2 linked regions of the Caenorhabditis elegans genome follow. The protein of the gene in region 1 interacts with the protein of each later gene in a pairwise test. Each region holds a gene or a part of one and is shown on either strand. Other genes may lie near its edges.

Evidence for each region.
Region 2: the proteins of ccct-1 (region 1) and F07F6.8 interact in a two-hybrid assay, tested with the Caenorhabditis elegans proteins (one large-scale study listed by BioGRID).

Annotation. Positions count from the first base shown.
Region 1 is NC_003279.8:13,777,203-13,781,941, reverse strand, and holds the start of ccct-1 (Coiled-coil and C2 domain-containing protein 1-like), read right to left. Parts: upstream 3,048-4,739; 5' UTR 3,044-3,047; coding exon 2,937-3,043; intron 2,164-2,936; coding exon of another isoform or gene 2,062-2,163; intron 2,014-2,061; coding exon of another isoform or gene 1,933-2,013; intron 1,800-1,932; coding exon of another isoform or gene 1,668-1,799; intron 1,570-1,667; coding exon of another isoform or gene 1,435-1,569; intron 1,383-1,434; coding exon of another isoform or gene 1,296-1,382; intron 1,253-1,295; coding exon of another isoform or gene 1,127-1,252; intron 1,082-1,126; coding exon of another isoform or gene 1,017-1,081; intron 946-1,016; coding exon of another isoform or gene 862-945; intron 815-861; coding exon of another isoform or gene 704-814; intron 659-703; coding exon of another isoform or gene 540-658; intron 1-539. Other genes in the region: Y37H9A.1 (Copper transport protein 86), read right to left, coding at 3,265-3,411, 4,638-4,739.
Region 2 is NC_003280.10:5,423,622-5,427,419, forward strand, and holds F07F6.8 (Apolipoprotein L3-like), read right to left. Parts: upstream 2,113-3,798; 5' UTR 2,098-2,112; coding exon 2,008-2,097; intron 1,635-2,007; coding exon 1,515-1,634; intron 1,458-1,514; coding exon 1,038-1,457; intron 991-1,037; coding exon 895-990; intron 847-894; coding exon 616-846; 3' UTR 520-615; downstream 1-519. Other genes in the region: F07F6.7 (Apolipoprotein L, 1), read right to left, coding at 5-124, 175-210.

The sequences.
Region 1 (4,739 bases):
GAGCCGGTTTTTGCAAGATTTGGTGATTCTGTGCATTTTTGCGTTAGATCTGGTGCCCTGACGAGAAATTGCGTACTTTTGGGGCTACAGTATCTCGGAAAATTGAAAATTAACGCTAAAAGCGCGGAAAAAAGCCGGCCGGCGGGAAAAATCACCGAGAATTCGAATTTAATGTTTAAAATTAATAAAATATTCAAATTTCGCAGTATTCTATTTTCGCTGTCAGAATTAACTGTTCAAAAATTAAGCGTTTTATTATTTAGTTCTACTTTACTTTTTGGAATGACTGGAAGTATAGACAATCTTTTATGTTTTTTGCTTTTTCTTCTTTTCTGAGACCTTGAAAATTGATTTTTCCAATTTCAGAAGTTTGGCCAGAAGTCAGAACTTTTATTCTTCCGGTCCTTTATTAACCACACAGTTTTAAAATATCTGCAGAGCCCTCTCAGCTTACACACTCTTTTCTCTTTTCTGTCGGCTTCTCCTGTTTTTAACTTATTTTCTCTCTCTTGTCTTTGTATAATTTTTCAAATTTTAGGATGCCGTCGCGTAAGCCTATCAAGGTTTCCCAGGAGGATTCCAGAGACACGACTTCCGAAGCGTCAAGAGACTCATCGAGTATATCGCCCCACCGGAGATCTAAACGCGTGTTGGAACGGTGATTTTTTTTCGATTGAAATTATTTCTAGTTTCCTATTTTCAGAAATACACTCAATTCCAACAGAGTTGCAGTCCCATCGTCCGGAAGCTCTCCTTTAGTAACGTTCGGAAGGTCTCTTTCGAAATCACAAGTGGGATCAGACCGGCACAACAAGTAAATAATTAAGTTAAAAAAATTGAGTGTTAATTTTCGATTTTCAGCGGATTTCTGGCACCTCCCCCATCTCTGCAGAGCTCTACTGGAAATAATCGCTCTTTAGAGCAGGAATTGAGACGCTCGACGAGGTAAGCTTGCTTTCATTGATTGTTAGAAACTAGCAAAAAATGTGTTCAAAAGTCTAATTATCACATTTCAGAAGATCCAACCAAGGACTCGCCAACGTGGCATCTCCGCATTCAATACCGCGAAGTCTGCCGACTTGTAAGATTTTTTAAGACGAAAAAATGTAAAGTTTTTATTTTTCAGGGGATTTTATCGTCCTCACCCAAGCCAAATGACAGCGCAGTCCTCGCGGAGCAATTTTCAAACCTCAAGAGGTGACTCACTCGACGGAGTTCTCTCCTCTTTTCGGTCTCCGAACACGCTTGATCGGTAAGAAAACAAGTTATTATGAATCACTAATTTTAAATTTCAGAACATTTATTGTTTCGACGCGTGCGTCCCACTTAACTACACCATCGGCGTCCCTTCAGAGTGCCCATACGGTCAGGATTGCAGACACGTAAGCAATAGCGGGTTTTTAATTCGAATCGATTATATTATTTGAATTTCAGCGGATTCCTTGGAGCACCAGAAATACAATCGAGTCGTAGTGGATCACGTTCTCGGTTTCCTACGGAACTGTCACTTCACACAATCCAGCCAACTCTATCGTATGAGACTGCCCCAACGGATGCTACGGCCGATCGGTAAGAAGTTTGGTTTTTCAAACTGATTTTATCAGATAAATTTCAGTGGATTTCAGACGATTTTTAAGACGTAAAAATGTAAAGTTTTTGTTTTTCAGGACGTTTGTCCAACCCAACGCCACCGAGCTCAGCGGAAACCGGAGCAGAAATCAAGCAGCCCCGACAGGTTCGAGATCAGGTTCCCGTTCGAGAACTTCAGCTGCTTCAAATGTCGGAGCTGGTCGCTCTCGGTGAGTTTGGCTTTAAACTTCTAGTTTTTCTAGTAACTTTTAGTTTTAAAAGAATTTAGGCAAAACACATTTAAAAAGTGACAGGTAGAGCGTGGAAATAAATTTTCAACAAATTCGAACTCATAAATTTCAGAGACGACTCTTCAGTTCGTACCAACGAACTTCCACCACCACAATCTGCGGCTTCTAACCATTCTCCGGGAATTCTAGATCGGTAAGAAAATAAGTTATTATGAATTTTAAAAAAAGTTTAAAATTTCAGAACATTCACGGTGTCGCCAAGCCGCAGTATTTTCTCTCGTCTACCAACCGATTCGCTCACTCTCCACACAATCCCGGCCAGAATTTCGAATTTTCCCTAATTTTCCTATTGAATATCGAGCTCAGCTCGCCTTTTTACCCCAGAAAAGCCTGTTTTAAGCAGAATTGGAAATTTTGTGCATTTTGTCGTAAATTCGGATGCCTGGACGAAAAATTGCGTACTTTTGGAGCTACAGTACCTCGGAAATTTCAAAATTAACGACAGAAACCCAGAAAAAAGGCATCGGGGGTAGAAAATGACAAGGAATTCGAATTTCCTAACGGTACAGCCGGAATTCGTCAAATTAAAGACGATAATCATGAAAAATCTACACTTTTTGCAAGACTTTGAGATTCTGTGCATTTTCGCGTAAGATACGGTGCCCGGACGAGAAATTGCGTACTTCTGGGGCTACAGTACCCCGGAAAATTCAAAATTAACGCTAGAAGCCCAGAAAAAAGCCCCCGGGGGTGAAAAATTACCGAATTCGAATTTAATGTCTAAAATTGATAAAATATTCAAATTTCGCAGTAACAATATCGAAATTGCGGAAAAAAATGAATTTCTACACCATAACTTCGCATTTTCAACGATTTTCCTATTGAAATTCGACTTCAGCGGCCTGTTTTACCCCTATCCAGCCGGTTTTCGCAAAATTTAAAAATTCTGTGCATTTTGTCGTAAGATCCGGTGCCTGGACGAAAAATTGCGTACTTTTAGGGCTACAGTACCCCGGAAAATTCAAAATTAACCATAGAAGTCCAGAAAAAAGGCTCCCGATGGTAAAAAATCACAGAGAATCCGAATTTCTCGCCGAAAACCCGCTAAAACCCTACCTAACACGACCCATCTCCTCTTCTTGTATTGCGGCAAGCTCGGCGAGCAACTCAGCGTCCTCCTCCAAATTCCCGTACATTTGATTATCAATATCATTGAAATTCATCTGGAAAATCAGGGGGGTTTTGGCTGAAAATTTTGCCTGAAATTTTTGGGAAAAAAAATACCAGAAAACTGCACGGGGAACAGTTATTGAAAATTGAGAAATTAATAAAAATGAAAAAAAAATCGATAAATTATTGATTTTTTCAAAAAAAATTAACAACAAAAAACAAAAAAACGTGTATAAAAATGCGGGAACAACAGAAAAATTAAAATTTCAAAAATTTAATTGTCCACGTGGACTCCGAGCTCTTCGAGAAGTCGTTTTCGATCGATAATTGGTTGATTTGGCTGCTGGAGATTAAAAACCACTTCCTTATTCTCTTGACAACCATCTGTTAGCTGACGAACACAGAATATCGATTGATTTCTCTGAAAATTTGGAATTTTTGGGATTTTTTAGTATTAAATTCGAATTTCCCGCAATTTTTCACATATTTAGCCTTTTTTCCCCGGGTTTCTAGCGGTAATTTTGAACATTTCGGGGGTACTGTAGCTCCAAAAGTACGCAATTTGTCGGCGGCGGGGCACCAGATCTTTCGACAAAATGCACAGAATTGGCAAATCTTGCGAAATCCGGCGATTTTGGGGTAAAAATGTGTGCTGAATCCGAATTTCAATAGGAAAATTGGGTAGGAAAATCAAGTTTAAAGCAAGTTTTGTAAAAAATTCCGGACGAAATATCGATTTTTGAGATTTTTAAGCTTGAAATTCGAATTGCCCGCCATTTTTCACATGTTCAGCCTTTTTTCTGGGCTTCTAGCGTTAAGTTTGAACTTTTTGGGGTACTGTAGCCCCAAAATTACGCAATTTGTCGTCAGAAAACCTGACCGTACGACAAAATGCACAGAAATCTAGAATCTTGCAAAATTCAGCTGAAATCAGCTGAATAGGGGTAAAAAGTGGCGCTGAGCTCGAATTTCATATGGAAAAAGCGATAAAGTTGAAATTTTACCAATTTTTTTGAAATTTCTGAGGAAATAATTGAATTCCGATAATTTTCCAAGTTTTTAGTGTGAAAATTCGAATTGCTCGTCATTTTTTACCACACTTTGGCGGTTTTCTAGGCGTTTACCGTTAATTATAAGATTTTCGGGGTACGGTAGCGCCAAAAGTACGCAATGTTCCGTCGATGCACCATATCTTACGACAAAATGCACAGAAACTTCAAAACTCGCGAAAACCGCCTAGGCAGGGGTAAAAAGGGGTGCTGAATCCGAATTTCTGAAGAAAACAGCAGAATTCTTACCAAAAATTCGAGATTTTTAATAATTTTCCACTAAAAATCGACATTTTTCAGCGAAAAACCTAGAAAATCACAATTTTCCATTGTTTTTCTATCGAAATTCGGTTTCAGCGCTCTTTTTTACCCATATCCCGACACTTTTCGCAACATTTTGAGTTTCTGTGCATTTCGTCGTAGGATCCGGTGCCCGGACGAGAAATTGCGTACTTTTGGGGCTACAGTAACCCGGAAATCTCAAAATTAACGCTAGAAGACCGGGAAAAAAGCCAAAATTGGTAGAATTGGACGGAGAATTCGAATTTGAAAGTGAAAATTTGAAATTTTTTTGGGTTTTTCAGAAAATCCATGATACCATAGTAAAGCTCTCCAAGAAATATTCAGGCCGTCTCGTGGTACATTGAAGCACTGAAATTAGTCCTTGTCGGCCATTTTGCAGCGTGGCAAGCTTATTAGA
Region 2 (3,798 bases), on another chromosome or scaffold:
CTACATCTTTAGCAATCTCCTCCATTCGGTTCATGATCTCTTGTCGGTTTGAGCTCCAACGATCGAGGTGCCATTGAGCTCCCCAGGCTTTAACCTGGAGTTCCTTTGGCATTTCTTCGCCATTCTGAACAAGAAATATAAATTATAAAAAATGAATTTGAATAAAAATCTTACCATCAACGTGCTTTTCAAAGATTCATAGATTGACATATCGCTTTGCAGTTTGTAGATAAGTCTCTGAATCAGTTAATTTAGAATTTGAAATAGTGAATAATTTAATAAGAAAACAAGAATTTAAATGAAGACAAGTTACAGTACAATAAAAAATAATTCCTTAAAAACACGGATTCGTTTTTGATTTTTATTCTGAGCAATGAGGTGTCTTTTCAAGACCACCTGGAATATTGAACATCTGAGCCTTTAAATTAGTACTGTAGAGTATACTGTAGCTCGCATTCTTTCTGGATTTTAATCGATATTTACCATTTTCGGGTTTCCGTTATTTTCACAATGCCCACACTTGAAGTGCCGAATTTATTTTATTTATTCGCATGAAACTTTCGCAAAATAACAACAAAACAGTAGTGAAACCCAGAAAAATTCAAAATCCCGATATTAATGTTGTACAGATGATTCTTGTTGATGTGGATCCATTATCAGTGACTGATTTGGAGATTCTGGCTGCACCATTTCAATAGAACCAACATCGGAGAGGACGTCATCATCGTCTTTCCAGACGTCTTCATTCAAAAAGTGTTTTACCACTTTTTGGCGCATCATTTCCATTTTGGAAGATGCTTCTAAAATAGAAGATCCAAGTTCCGACACGGATCCTTCTCCAAGAGTCTGAAATTTGTATATTTTATTTTGAAAATTTCAAATTAATTGTTGTACCTTGGCGCTCAACGCCAATGTGACACTGTCTAGAACGATTCCAATTACAGCTACACTGTGAAGAACTCCTTTGACAAGAGAAGAGGAGAGGCGACCCTGGAAAATAAATAATATTGATGAAAAAAATAATAAAAAGAGCTTACCATCGAAGTAATTGCAAATCTAGTTCCAATTCCAGTTATTCCAGTAACTGATCCACCGAACACAGTTTTCAGCTTATTTTCAATGTCCCCGTCGTTTTTGAAATGTTTAAAGAATTCCTCATCTTCAACAATTTTCCGAACAGCTTCCATAAGTTCTTCTCTTGATTTCAGAAGTTCTTCAAAAAGTACACCGTCTTCTGCAATCATTGCAGCTACTTCTTTGTGCTGCCCTTTTGTATGAAAAAATTTCGTGATGCCTGTCGCCAAATTGGAAACTCCTGAAGCTGTTCCAACGATGAGACCAGCAATTGCAACTGGTGGCATCAAGATAAGTCCTCCAATAACTGCAATTCCAGATGCAATACCAACGGTACTTCCGACAGCTGTTGAAATTGCACATCCTTTCTCCCAATTATCCAGCTGAAATTAAAAATTTTAAAATTCATTTTGATTAAAATCTCGCATTAAAGTACATACCTTCTCAGCAATTCCTTCCATTTGTCTGACAATTTTTCTTCGATTATTGCTCCATTTGTCCAATAAAAACTGTGTACGCAATGCTGTTTCACTCAATTCTTTTGACATTGACCTTGGAATCTAAATTCATTAATAATTATATTACGAAGACGGGAATTTTTTGTGGAAAGATGCGGTACCCGGTCTCGATACGACAATTTTTGTTAAATACAACCGGATGTGCGCCTTTAAAGAGTACAGTAGGTTCGAAGTATAGTGGCTTGGAATTTTCATCGACTTTTCATAGTTTTCTCGCAATTTTTTGAAAATGTTTGTGTTTTCATTGTTTTAGTTTATTGAAAACAATTTTTTTAGGGAAAAAAACAATGAAAAGTCGAGTAAAAATCCGCAGCAGCAAAAGTTTGAAATTACAGTACTCTTTAAAGGCGCACACCCGCTGGAATTTTACAAAATACCCAGTACCGTATTATTGAAACTTTAAAAAAAATCTTACAAATAGCAAGCTTTCCAATGAATCGTAAATTGGAACTCCGTTGTCTTCCGACTGAGAACCTGCGTCGTCGTGATCATCTTTGATCTGCATCTTGTCTGATTTTATCTGAATTTTGACAAAAATGAAAACATGAGTTCATTACCAGAAAAATATTTAAAAATCGCGAAGTGTGGGAGGATTAGAAGTGAAACAGAAATCAATAAAAAATACCCTAAACTTCGAAAAATTCCAAGACGGGAAGAGCATTTTGATAGAAGGAAACAAAAGTTGGAAGACTGGGGCTAACATGTAAATTCGGAAAAATATGGATCGCGACATAAATAATTTGACGCAAAAATCAAAACAGGAAAACAAGTGACTGATGAAAAACTCCTGATTTTCCCACACTGCCCAAAAAGTCACAAGGACTGGTTTAGAAAATATGATCTAGAATTTAGTATGGTGCAATAAATAAAATAAATATCTAGAAGGGGGGAAAGCCAAAGACGGGTAAATGAAAACGACAAAAAATGTACGAAAAAAAGATAGAATCGATCGAAGAATCACATGTTTACAACCCAATGGCCTTCCCCCTCTTCTATGTCGTTCTCGGGTGCCTCCCATGACACGTTGACCCTCTCGATTAGAGAAAGAGACGACAGAGACTGTGGTGGGACAAGGCTCACTGAGTGAGAATCAAGTGATTCTAGAATGAAGAGAGAAAAAGGTGAAGACTACAGCAGCTAGTATTTTGTTCAATTTCAATGGAAGAAGTTGACTAAATTATGATGAGGAAGGCGAATAAAGGCAATATTATCACACATAGAATAAGACAGTTCCCAAGTATATTGATAAGAAAATTCAGTAGGTATGATACGAAGCGGAAATGGGAAGAATTGGGAAATAAGGCGAACGAGAGCAATTATCGATTGATGATTGGGATTTGAATCATGAAGTCGATGGAGAGCAGTAGGACGAAGTTAGCGGTCCTGAAATAAAAATGTTCAAGTTGGTTATTATAGTTATAAAAGAAGAGACCCAGACGAACACTAATACAGCTACGTATCACAATGTGACCAAACTATTACGAAATTTCGTTAATCTACTTCGGAAATTGAAAGTAAAAAAAAATGTCTCTCGAATTAATTTTGATACTTTTATTCAGTATTTATGGGTACATATTTACGTATTAAAAACCAATTTCGGACCAAAAAACAAAGCTTGCATGGTAAACAAACGTGTTTTTTGGTCAAGTTTATCCTTGTTTGCGTTCTCGCGACGAAAATAAGAAAATGAGCAGCTGAGAGGGTGACTTGTTTTGGTCAGGGCTCAATGCAAAGCGAATTTTCAAGTTATAGAAATTTTTTTAAATTTCCCTGAGTTAGATGCTAGTCATGACAATTTTCAACAAAAAAAAATTGAAACGCTCTTAAGGAATTTAGAAGAAAAATATAATTGTTAAAACAAAACGAAATTCGAAAAAATGAAAATAAACTACGACACTCCGTTATTCCGGATGTGTGTGTTGTTTACAGTAAATCTACACAGCTTGCAATTACGATTTTCTCAATTTGAAGGTTTTTTTTTGAATGGAAGTTAACTTAAGTTTGTGCCCAACAAAACTGATATATGAAACATTCACAACGACAAAAGAAATTGAAAAACCCAATGACACACAACATTCAATAAAATAAAGTAAAAAAGTTTTGAAAGACCCGAAATTCAGTGAGAATACAAAAACCCATAGGTTGAAAAATAAAAGATAAAGACAAAACTAAAAGAAAACAACATTAAAAACCAATTTTACGGATG